3 linked regions of the Coturnix japonica genome follow. The protein of the gene in region 3 interacts with the protein of the main gene of each other region in a biochemical or structural test. Links are inferred from orthologs where the notes say so. Each region holds a gene or a part of one and is shown on either strand. Other genes may lie near its edges. The genes, in order: AP1G1, SGIP1 and EPS15.

Region 1 (3,747 bases), on a different chromosome or scaffold from region 3:
AGAGAAATAAAACACTACAAACAGAGACCAGACTGGCAAGGAAAAACTAAGAAGAAAGAGATACCGGCACAATGTTTAACATCATCCATATTTATACAGAAAACAGCACGCTCCCAACCAAGCAGCACAGCCATCATCACTGCCATCATCACTGCGGGCAAAGGCAACACACAGGAGTTCCTAAAAAGCAACCAACCATACAACATTCAAAGGGGAACGTAGCGTGTGTTGAGAAAAAGCTATTTCCTACAACACAGGTAAATAACAAGTGGAAAATAAGTAACATAGGGATATCAGAAAGAAATTAAGGCAAAGGAAATGTCAAGACAGAGAATGATAAGACAAGGAATCGGAATAGTCTGCATTATACAAAGATGGGGGGCTTGGGAATGGAAGGAAGCATGGAACACGCCTAAAAACGGAAGCTGAAAAAGCAGCGGCAGAGGATGTGATGGTGCAACGTGCAGGTACACGGACAGCAAAAGGCAGCACAGGTAGCACGCAGGCAGGGCAGCACGTGTGTCACTGCTTCGAGACTGAACCACACACCTTCCCCTACACTGCACTACAACAAAGTGCTGTACTGCCAGGTGCCTGGAAATGCTCATTGTGGACCTTTATCTACAGCATCTCCAAAGTGCCAGATCAAGGCAAATGCCACTAACTGCAGTGATATTAGCAGATATTCGTTTGCACTGCTTCTTTCTGAGTAACAGCACTGTGTATGTTTAGTGACACCAAATATCATCCAATAAAGTAACACAACCATCATGATCGATGAGACTGTTTTCCTCAAAGAACATCCCAGTGTGATCCAGAACAAGTTCACATGGCTTTCAGACCAAAGATTTTGCGCTCTTATTAAACAAAACAGCTCATCTCTGTCTGAAGATGCACAACACCAACTCAAAAACATTAATGTAAAGGAGGCATCAACTTCAGAAGCCTTTATGCTCTGAAAGGCAACTTCCCAATCCTTAACCCATGCAGTCTGTCTGCATGCCTAAGAACAGACAGATCCAGCTCCTTTCTGCTGCTCACAGCCTTTTTATTCCACAAACGAATGTACCAATCTCATCAGGTTACAGTGACGCTAATTCAAACCTCCTATTGCAAACAGGCTATCAAGATTGGAAGGATCTACCTGTCACACTCACTCATCGGCCAGGACAGTGCCAAAAGTACGGACCAACTCCGCTTTGATTACGGTGCCCCTTGAAAAAAGAAAGGTCAGATTAAAAGTCACAGGAACAAAGAAATGGAAGAGAAGAGAAGAGAATGTCCCTCTATCAGAAACACTAAAATAAAAAAGGAACCTGAAAGCTGTTCTACACAGCAGGGCCAGGACAGCTGGGTGCCTCACTAACAGACCCTCCTTTCTGCCGTCAGCTCACAGGAATTGAAGCTCGTTCCTCTCCTCCTCCCAGCGCGGCAGAAGCGAGGGCTCACCCTGCACAGTGCCCTGAGGAACAAGGCCTCCCGCCTGCATCCAGCTCACGGGCATCCAACGAAATGCACCGTTTGAAGACAGGACAAGCAGGAAAAAGGAAAAGTTTTGTGGTAGAATGGGAATGCTCCCTGTCTGCAGAGGAAAAATACAGTCTGCAGAAAGGGGGAAGAAAAGTAAACAAGCGAACGGAAGATCGAGATTGATGTTACTGCAATGAAGAACAGGGAAAAAAATCTTCAATGTGTCATTTTAAACACGGGGTGAATGGAGGATCGCACAGACAGAAATACGCCCCGCGCTGCTTAAGGCGGTGAGCGCCAGATGCCGCTTCTGGTCCCGCACGTGAAACGCCCTTGGAAGCGCTTCCATTTAACTCCGTATTTTTCCATTCGCTTCAAGCTTTCAGAACCGAACGCAGCACGGAGCCCTGAGAGCCCCGCAAAGCGAACGGCGGTGCCGCCCTCCCGCTGCCGAACCAACGCCCAGCGTTCAAACGAGCAGGGTTTGCCCTGTGGCTCCCGAGGAGGAGCGGGGAAGGCTCCGAGAGGGCCCCGATCCCCGCGCCGCCTTCCAGCCGCCGAGCGCAGCCCGCCCGGTCCCGGCGGATCTCCCGCCGCGCTCCCCGTTCTCCACGCGGCGCCGCGTGTCGTTACCGAGCGCGGCCCGGCCCGAGCCCGCGGCTGAGAGCACAAGGCCGCGAGCCGCGCTCCGTCCCGCCTCCCACAGCCCCGAACGGGCGGCACAGAGCGACGGGAGGAGCCCGCGGGAACCGAGCGAGGGCGGGAGGAGCGAGACGGGCCGCGGGACGGGACGGGAGGACACAGCCGGGACGGGCCGAGGGACGGCGGGCAGCGCCCCGAGCACGGCGGGGCTCGAGGCTCCGGGCCGAGGGATCCTGCGGGACGAGGCGACGCCGACAGAGAGCGGGACCGGGCACCGCCGGGAGCGGGGGACGGAGCGGAGAGAGGAGCGGGAGAACGGGCGGGCGGCGCGGATGGGGGCGGCGGGCGGCAGCACTCACCGGGCCGGTCCCTGGAGCGGAGGCAGCGGCAGGAGCCGGGCATTCAAAATGGCGGCGGCTCGGCCTCAGCACCGATACCGCAGGCGGAGGGATCCGCACGGCACGACGCTCCTCGCGGCCCCCCGGGATCCGCCGGCGTCGGTCCCGGAAAGCGGCCGGGCGGCCTCAGCCGGGGCGGCACCGACAGGAGCGGGACGGGCGGCGGCGGGCGGCGGGACGGGAGGAACGGGCCGCGCGCACTATTTGTCCCGGCGGAAGCGCACGAGGCTCCGCATCGCGAGCAGCGCAACGAGATGCCGTGGCAGTCGCTGATGACGTCACGGCGGGGCGGCCCCGCAGCGCGACGCCAGTTACGGACCGAGCGGGGACGGGGCGGGGCCACGCGGGGAACGTGCGCGGTGTGCGGGCGGGGCGGGGCGGGACGGGACGGGACCCGCGTGTGCGCTCCGGGTGGGGCGGCACTGTTAAAGCGCGGCCCGGCGTGTCCGTGCGCCGCGGGCAGAGCGCGCTGCCCACCGGTCCGGTTGGTTTTGTTCGGTTTGTTTTGTTTTTCGTGCGGCTTCTGGGGAACGGGAGGGAACGAGCCGCTGCACGGCGGGGCTGAGCGCACGGAGCGGCACCGCGTGAGGAGCCGGAACGAGCCGCCGGAACCCGCGGAGCTTTGGGCACCGTAAAGAACAGCGAGTGCCGCCAAACACGGGACGGAGCGGAGGAACGGAACGGAGCGGGACCGGGGGCTGCGGGACGGGAACGGCTGAGGGGGGCGGGATATGGCTGCGGGTACCGGGACGGAGCTCAGAGCCTGAACCGCACCGGGCCGGGATCCGAACCGGGATCCGAACCGGGATCTGAACCGGGCCGGGCTGAGCCGCGCTGCTCCGAACGGCCGCCTCCCTCACCCGCCCCGTGTCCGCTCGGTGCCGGTCGCGCTCTGTCCCGCCCCGCAGCCCGCTCCGCTCCTCTCCTCCCGTCTCGCACCGCCCCGGACCCGTCTCCCCGGTAACGGACGCTTCGGGCTCCGCTCCTTGTCCCCGCCCCCCTCCACCCCCCCGGCCCGTGAGGCGCTTCCGGCGCGAGGCCGCGCGTCATCGCCGTGCGCCGCGGGGAGGGGCCGGGCCGGAGGCGGCGGTGGGAGCGATGGGGCCGGTGTGGCCGGTGGGGGTCGCGGAGGAGGAGCCGGGCGATGGCGGGTGAGCCGCGGGCCGGGCCGGGCGACGGGCGGGATCCGCGGGGCCGGGCTCGGGCAACCTCCGTCCCCGGGGCCGGAGCTCCGCAG
Region 2 (3,647 bases), about 4.2 Mb from region 3:
ACACAACATGCAGCACCTGCATGCAGTACAAGCCCCCCACCCCCTCCAGAGCACTGCAGTATCACCACTTGCACAAACTCATGGCCAAAGGCAGCAAGGAAGGCAGCAAGGAAGGAGCTTACCGGGCTGCGCCGCTGCGGTCAGCGAGAAGGGAGAGAGAACAGACACCTGGTCAGAGAGGGATGCATCAGCACCAATGTGGCACCATGCCTGGACTGGCATCCCAGGGACAGGGAGCATCCCTGCTTGAGAACTTGAGGTTGGGACCCTTGGGATGCTCCTTCCCCAGCTTTACAAGCAGCCCCATGCTGATGCACGGCCATCTCTTTCTCTGCCTACAAGGAGGGCAGTGCCCATCCAGAGCTGCCCTCAGGGTGTTTATGGGGTTCCTCTGTGCTGCAGTGCTGCTGGGCACAGACCCCAGAATCCAGGCATGCAGCATGCTCCACACCTGCCCTCCTGATGCACTTTGATATTTTGGCAACTGAACCCCTTTGATCCTGATGCCCTGGGTCAGCTCCTGCAATGGAGCACAAGCAGAGGGGGAGCCTGGTACCTCCAAACAGAGAGAATTTGCCCAATTTGGGCTCAGAATGGAAGTCCTTATGAGGACAACATCACTGCTGCACACACCAGCACTGTGGTCACAAACCACAGATGCACTTTCCTGCCTTCCACTACATCCTGGTGCACAAGGACGTGAGCAGAACTTGCTCAGGGAAAGCTGTGCCCTCACACATCTCATCCAACACCAGCCCCAGCCTTCCCACAGAGAGCATGGAACGCCCCATGTGGACTATGCACATCTCAAGGAAACACAACCAGGCTCCTATCCACAGAATCATGGAACTGTTTGAGTTGGAGGAGACATTTGAAGGCCATCTGGTCCCAAACCCCACAATGAACAGGGACACCCTCAGCTCCATAGGCACTCAGAGCCCCATCCCTGACCTTGGGTCTCTGCAGGGATGGGTCACCACTGTCTCTCTGAGCTCTCTGTTCCACCCACCGAGTTAAACCCAAGGGTGAAGGACAGCAATGAACATCACACCTTCCAGAACTGTCTGATTTGTTATTTGCCTTTACGTTCTAGTTCCAGAGACATGCAGAACAGGTGCCAGGAAAGCAGAGCACACGAGTCAAGGCTGTATTAAAAGTTTGTAAGCAAAAAAAAAAAAGAGAATTTCTTACCGGACTTTTCCTCTAAAAGTATGCAGAAAAAAACAACAGAATAAAAAGAGAAAATCAGATTTCTTCTGTAAGGGGCTGACACAGAACTGAAAGGATTGCATCTGTGAGCAGAAGGCATCAGCTTCTCCCAGTGCCTTTCCGTGAGCTTAGTGACATTGCATTGATTTGGGAAGGAGAAATAAAATGAGGATTTTATTTCACCTTGGCTTCTATTTGAGACTGATTCACACCTCAGATGAGGGCTGAGGATAAACCCTGAACAGCTTCAGCTGCAGAGACTCCATAGCCCACTCTGAAGCCTATCAAAAAAGCAAAACTCGCAGATCTGTTCCCAGCAGAACAGATTGGGATGCGATGATGATCTCAACAAGCCTTATGAAAACCAGTGGGTAGCAGCATTCATACCAGGGAGCAGACATGGCTGCTCCTTTCAGACACCCCTGGGTGGGAAGCACCCTACAGCAGCACTATGGAGAGCCCCACAGACATTCCCCAGCTCAAACGTTGCTATCAATCCCCATCACCACTCCCTATGGATCCAGGTGACAAGGACCCAGAGCCAAGGTTCCTCACTCACACACAAGGGAAGGGGCTCCCTGGGCCAAAGCAAGCAAATAGGAATAGAGCTGGGGACATGGACAACTCACCACAGGGGATGGAGAAAGTGCAATGTTGCCTACGGATGCCTTCAGCTCATCCACCGTCGCCGCGCTCTTCAGGATGTCCTTAGCCTGCAGCGGTTTGATCTTGATGTTGTACTTTTTGTGGGCTTCTTCCTCCTCCTCAGACTCACTGGAGGAGTAGAAGTGCTTCCCTTTGGTGGGTGCAGCGCAGCTAAGGAAGCTTGCTTGGAGATCAGGAGCACCCACCAGCTCAGCAATGGGTCAAAACGTCACATCTCACTGAAAAACGGGAACTGAGCATTTCTAAAGCGCTCATCACTAACCTCAATGGCAGGAGCAGCCACAGGGACAAGCCTTCCTGCACTGCCCATGGAGGCAGGTAAGAAGACTGCTCTGCTGCAGCCCAGTAAGGTCTGTATTGATGTATGGCCATCCTTCCTCAGCTCTGATGGGGACAAAGCCCTCCATCAGCAGAAAGTGGAATCCTATTGTTCACTCACCCTCCTCCAGCTGTGAACAAGGATGCTATTAGCCCCAAGCTTGGCACACATGCAGCATGCACAGCCTGCATCCTTGTTTCCTCACCCCTTACAGAACACATTATGGATCTGTAGATCATAACAAAGTAGAGGGCATGAGGTTGCCCAGGAAAGCCTGCTCAAGTCATAGCATGGATCAAAGGCACTTAAACATGCCCCCTGCTCCACTACTACAGATAACACTCTCTGGGAGCTGGTTTGGACTGCAGAGCAAGAGCTCAAAGGAGAATAAAAGAGGAAAATAAGAAAAACCCATAAAGTCAGTGGCCTTTCTGTGAACCCCAGCTCATCTTACAGATCGTTAGCCAAGAGGCCAAGCCCACAACAAAGGATATAGCCTGGCTCCTCAGGCCGGATGCTGTAGCCCTCCTCATCAAGCTCTGGGGAGTTCTGCATGGGGCACAAAACAGGAAGGATCAACACTGCTGCTGGGGTTTTGTTGTTGTTGTTACTATAGTTTCCCACCCCCCCCTCACACCCAATTGCAAACCACATTTGTCTTTGGTTGGACCCAGTGCCCTTGAAGCACAGATTAGTGCTCTCCTCACCTACACAGGGAAGAGTAGCCCTTCACTTGGTCTCCTGGCTTCTGGACCATTTTATAAGCCTGTCTGCTGAATCAGTTCTCAAATCATTGATGCCACATGGAATCATTAAGTTCAGAAAAGTAGTCTGTGGTCATCCAGTCCACCCATCAGCACATCCCCCCCATGCCCACTAAACCATATCCCTAAGTAACCTTTCCTTTAAAAGAGAATACACATCAGTACATCTGTAATAATGTCTCTGAAGTCACTATTTCTGCTCAGTGTGCTTAAGCTTTGGAGCAGAGAGACAAGAGTGGGGCTGAGGGACATGGTTCACAATAGAGCATTGCCCATGGAAGGGGCAGAGCCCTCAGACACTTACGTATCTGTCCCAGTCGATCTCGGCATAAAATCCATTGGGGGCCCCATTTGTTTTCTTCTGTAACACATGGGAAAACAAGATTTCAACACTTAAAATGAAGGGGGGAAAAAGAGAACACGAATATACACATGTGCTTGCACATCTATGTGGTGAGACTCTACCACGACACAAGCTAAGCAAAGGCTCTTGGGGCTGCCTTTAAATCAACCCTTGGGTTTAAGCTTCCTTAACGATGGCAAGGAGCACCATGTAACCAAGCACCATGTTCCTTACCGAGTTATTTTTTCCTTGCTCCTGTGTGCCCTCAGGTTTGCTATGGCAAGGTGGCTCATTGAGATGAGGGCTGAGAGGCTGGAATGGATTGGGGTTGGGCAGAAAGAGGGTT
Region 3 (3,647 bases):
AGATTAAGAGAAAGTATAATACGTAATTTCTTCAGATGTCTTCAAATATGAACAGTTGGATAAAAGTGTATTATTTAGTGAAGATTTTGAAGGTATTTTACAAATAAATTGTTTCAAAACATCTAGCTCAACCCAAAGATCAGAACACTTAGAAAACAGTTTAATCCAAGTATGTGCAGGCAGAATGTTTGTTCTGACTGAATACTGGTTTGAACATGGGCAGTTTTTAAAACAAATTGTGATAGGATTGTGTATGTACTTACATGTTGTCCAAGACTTTTAATCTGGCAGTTTACTTGACTGACTTAAGCCTGGGTAGTGTGTGTATTACAAAGCAGTGTATTCTGGATGAGTGTCTTGGTGTATATTTTTTTTTTAATACAGTACCATTTGAGATTTGTATGTGTTAAATGTCCTTGTACTTTTAAATTAATATCCACAAGCATGCATATATGCAGAAGCTGAATCAATTTTCACTCACCCTCCCCCCACCTTTTTATAGTAAATAGTGTAGTATTTGGAGAAAATGTTGAAGTAAGAAATGTGGCTGTAACTCCTATCTTTACCCTGGTAAGAACTTAAGACCTACAATTTAGAATGTCCCAGCTGTTATCTCTGAGCTTGACCCAGCTAAGGGTCTCCAGCTGTGTAAGGAGGAGTGAAGTTGATGTAGCTGGACTGAGTACAGTGGTGAGTGGAAAACCCCGTGCTAGGAGGAGATCTGGGCCCCAAGGGATACATCTATTGCATAGGCAAAGAGAGTATCAGAGCAGTAGTAGAGCAGTATCAGCCGACTGTTGTCCTTCATTGATACCAATGTTTTTACTTTTGGAGTGTCTTACAGATGCCTATACATGTCTATGTACTTTTATCTATGATAAAAGTGATTCATAAATGAGGCACCCGTATCACTTTCAAAATCTGTGCTGTAGTCCTTCAAATATGTAACTCTGAAAGTATATAACAGTCTGAAAACAGAACTGTCTTTATCTTGGCATTGTGGATTTTGTTTTTCTCTCTACCGCTCCCTCTCCCTTCTCTTCAGTGGGTTGTATCGCCTGCAGACAAAATTAAGTATGATGAGATCTTTGTGAAAACTGACAAGGACATGGATGGATTTGTGTCAGGTGTGGAAGCCAGAGAACTATTCCTGAAGACGGGACTGCCTTCTGCTCTGCTTGCACATATCTGGTAGGGATTATTTTTCCACGACAGCTGTTTAGGCGATGGCATGGTTCTTGCTTTTTCCTTACTCTTTTAGTGAAAAGTGCTAGGTCGACATTTATGGAAAATGAGGGCTATTTTCATATACAATAGCAAGGCCTCTGTATTAGCAGCAGTAATTTAATTTGCTTCTACTTTTGGATAGAAATAAAGGGTAAATTGGTTGATGCCATGAGCTGTTTCCTAGCTAAAGGAGGTAAAGAGCCTGAAGAGATAGCTACAAACCAATACTGCATTTAGCTAAATGCCTGTATATAAAGCACCATAATGTTGCTGTGTATTTGAAAACTGATAATGTCCATTTGAGAATTATCTGTATTAAATTGTTAGCATTCAAGACTCAGGGCCCATCTAATTCTGTGAATCATTTGTCTTTCATTATAACCTGTATATTATAGCCTGTAGTGACACCTACTGTGTGGTGGTATTGTTTCCAAATTTTTCTCCATTGTAAGCTATTGCGTGGTACTCTGATAGAAAAGAAACATTGTCTTTTTCAAAGTATGGTTAGTATAATATAGGAAATCTAGGAAAATGGTATAAACTGGTGTTGCTTATGGGGAGTTCTTCAGTTTAGCAAGTAAATTCAGCTACAGATATTTAGACATTGCAATTTGTAGGCCTAGTTCAGCCTTTTACCAGATTAATAATTACTCTAACAGAGCAGTGAAACTGTACAAAAAGAGGAAGTGGTTGGGTATGTTTCTGTATTTATTACCATGGTTTATTTGTGCATTACATTATTTTTAATAGAGCAGATATGCAATAGCTGTTTTCACAATTCTAACTGAAAGTACAACACGAAGAGTTAAGTTTGTGGAAATGAAGATTTTGTTTATTTCATGTGCATCTCTGTTCAGGGCACTCTGTGATACAAAGGACTGTGGGAAGCTTTCCAAGGAACAGTTTGCTTTGGCTTTCTACTTAATTAATCAGAAATTAACAAAGGGCATTGATCCACCTCAAGCTCTGACTCCAGAGATGATTCCACCTTCAGACAGGAGTGTCACATTACAGAAGGTAAGGATGGCTTTGCATGCTTGGTATACATTTCAAAGGCTGCACAGGAGGCCCATCAAGTACTGGCAAACATTAAGTTTGTTATAATATCAGGAAGAAAACAAGTATTAATTACAAATAAGTGACAAAGCACTGCTCCGTTTGTGTTTTGAATTGAAGCCGTCATTTATTGCGCTTGCCAACCAAGCAGAGAGATCTTATGTTGAGAAAGCACTATTTTCTATTTTAGAAGAATAATCTTTTTTCTGTCCTCGGAAATCTTAGTTTGCGTCAGAAGTAACATGCACAAGTTCTATGTTTTTGTCCTAATGTGCCTTTCAATTATCTTTTGCATTTCTTTTTTTCAGTAGCTCTCAAAATAATATGAACTAAATAAAGTTTATGTTTTTGAAGTTCAAGAAGTAAATGTCCACCATTTTATTCTTCACAGATAGTTTGAATGTCTCGATAGTGTCTTAATTGCCATCTGCCTTAATCGAGCAGTAGACCATACCTTAACAGTTCAAGTTACGTTTATCCGGATGGCGGGAGTCATGGCAAATTCTTACTTGGTTTACGCCTCATAGAGTTTTATGTTGGTTACCTTTTCTTGGTTGTGCAAAGCATTGTCCTGCCTCTGCACTTTCTTGAACAGAATGAAAAATCAGCAACTGAAAAACTAGAAACTCAGAATTTGGCCCTGCTTTTGAGTTTCTGTAGCTGGAATCTTATTTCTTTTTTATGTTCTATTTTAAAAAAGAGTAACTGCTTTATTTGCAACTCTACTAATATTTTTGTATGTTTGCTTTCCTTTCTATGTCTCTTTTCTAGTTTGGACTGTTTTTTCCATTCTGCACCACTCTGCTTTTCATCCTTATTATTCTGTCAGTTTGTTAACTCTGCTTTCTCAAGGTTAGAGAATCTTTGCTTTTCTAATATTTACTGTCTGTTGGTTTGATAATGAGCGTCCTTCTAAGACTCTTAAATAACCACTGAAATAGTGCAGCACTTTTCTGAAGCATCACAACTTGTTGCAGTCTCACATTATTACTGGTTTTCAGTGTTCTTCATCTGGAAGAATCTCAAGGTGCTTTGCAAATCTGAACTAACACAGTGTACATAATCTGCTTTTGTGCAGAAAATGATTTCTGGGTAGACCACTGTGGCTGTTATGTTTTGGCTACATGTACTGCTCAAGTTTACAAAAGAAAGTGCTTTGCATTATCCTGTTGGAATTGTTGAGGGAAGTGATGACAGTTGTAGCCCAATATTACAGATGACAGTTTCCATTAGGACTGATACCCATTTTATTACTGATTAAGTTTCAGAGAATGTAGTGGTCAGAAAACACTTCAGATGAAATCAACATTGTTTATGGCTATTCTGTGTACATTGCCTTCACAGAACTCTTACAGACATCAGTT

What was found.
Region 1: the proteins of EPS15 (region 3) and AP1G1 form a complex in vitro, tested with the Homo sapiens proteins (2 studies listed by BioGRID). The link is inferred for Coturnix japonica from reciprocal best matches to the Homo sapiens genes EPS15 and AP1G1.
Region 2: the proteins of EPS15 (region 3) and SGIP1 form a complex in vitro, tested with the Homo sapiens proteins (2 studies listed by BioGRID, with this or other methods). The link is inferred for Coturnix japonica from reciprocal best matches to the Homo sapiens genes EPS15 and SGIP1.

The regions. Positions count from the first base shown.
Region 1 is NC_029526.1:17,656,891-17,660,637, reverse strand, and holds the start of AP1G1 (AP-1 complex subunit gamma-1), read right to left. Parts: upstream 2,773-3,747; 5' UTR 2,472-2,772; intron 1-2,471. UniProt on the Homo sapiens protein: Subunit of clathrin-associated adaptor protein complex 1 that plays a role in protein sorting in the late-Golgi/trans-Golgi network (TGN) and/or endosomes.
Region 2 is NC_029523.1:25,693,973-25,697,619, reverse strand, and holds part of SGIP1 (SH3-containing GRB2-like protein 3-interacting protein 1), read right to left. Parts: intron 3,614-3,647; coding exon 3,536-3,613; intron 3,320-3,535; coding exon 3,263-3,319; intron 2,744-3,262; coding exon 2,689-2,743; intron 2,015-2,688; coding exon 1,839-2,014; intron 1,204-1,838; coding exon 1,192-1,203; intron 135-1,191; coding exon 123-134; intron 1-122.
Region 3 is NC_029523.1:21,504,454-21,508,100, reverse strand, and holds part of EPS15 (epidermal growth factor receptor substrate 15), read left to right. Parts: intron 1-1,045; coding exon 1,046-1,191; intron 1,192-2,084; coding exon 2,085-2,244; intron 2,245-3,647. UniProt on the Homo sapiens protein: Involved in cell growth regulation. May be involved in the regulation of mitogenic signals and control of cell proliferation. Involved in the internalization of ligand-inducible receptors of the receptor tyrosine kinase (RTK) type, in particular EGFR.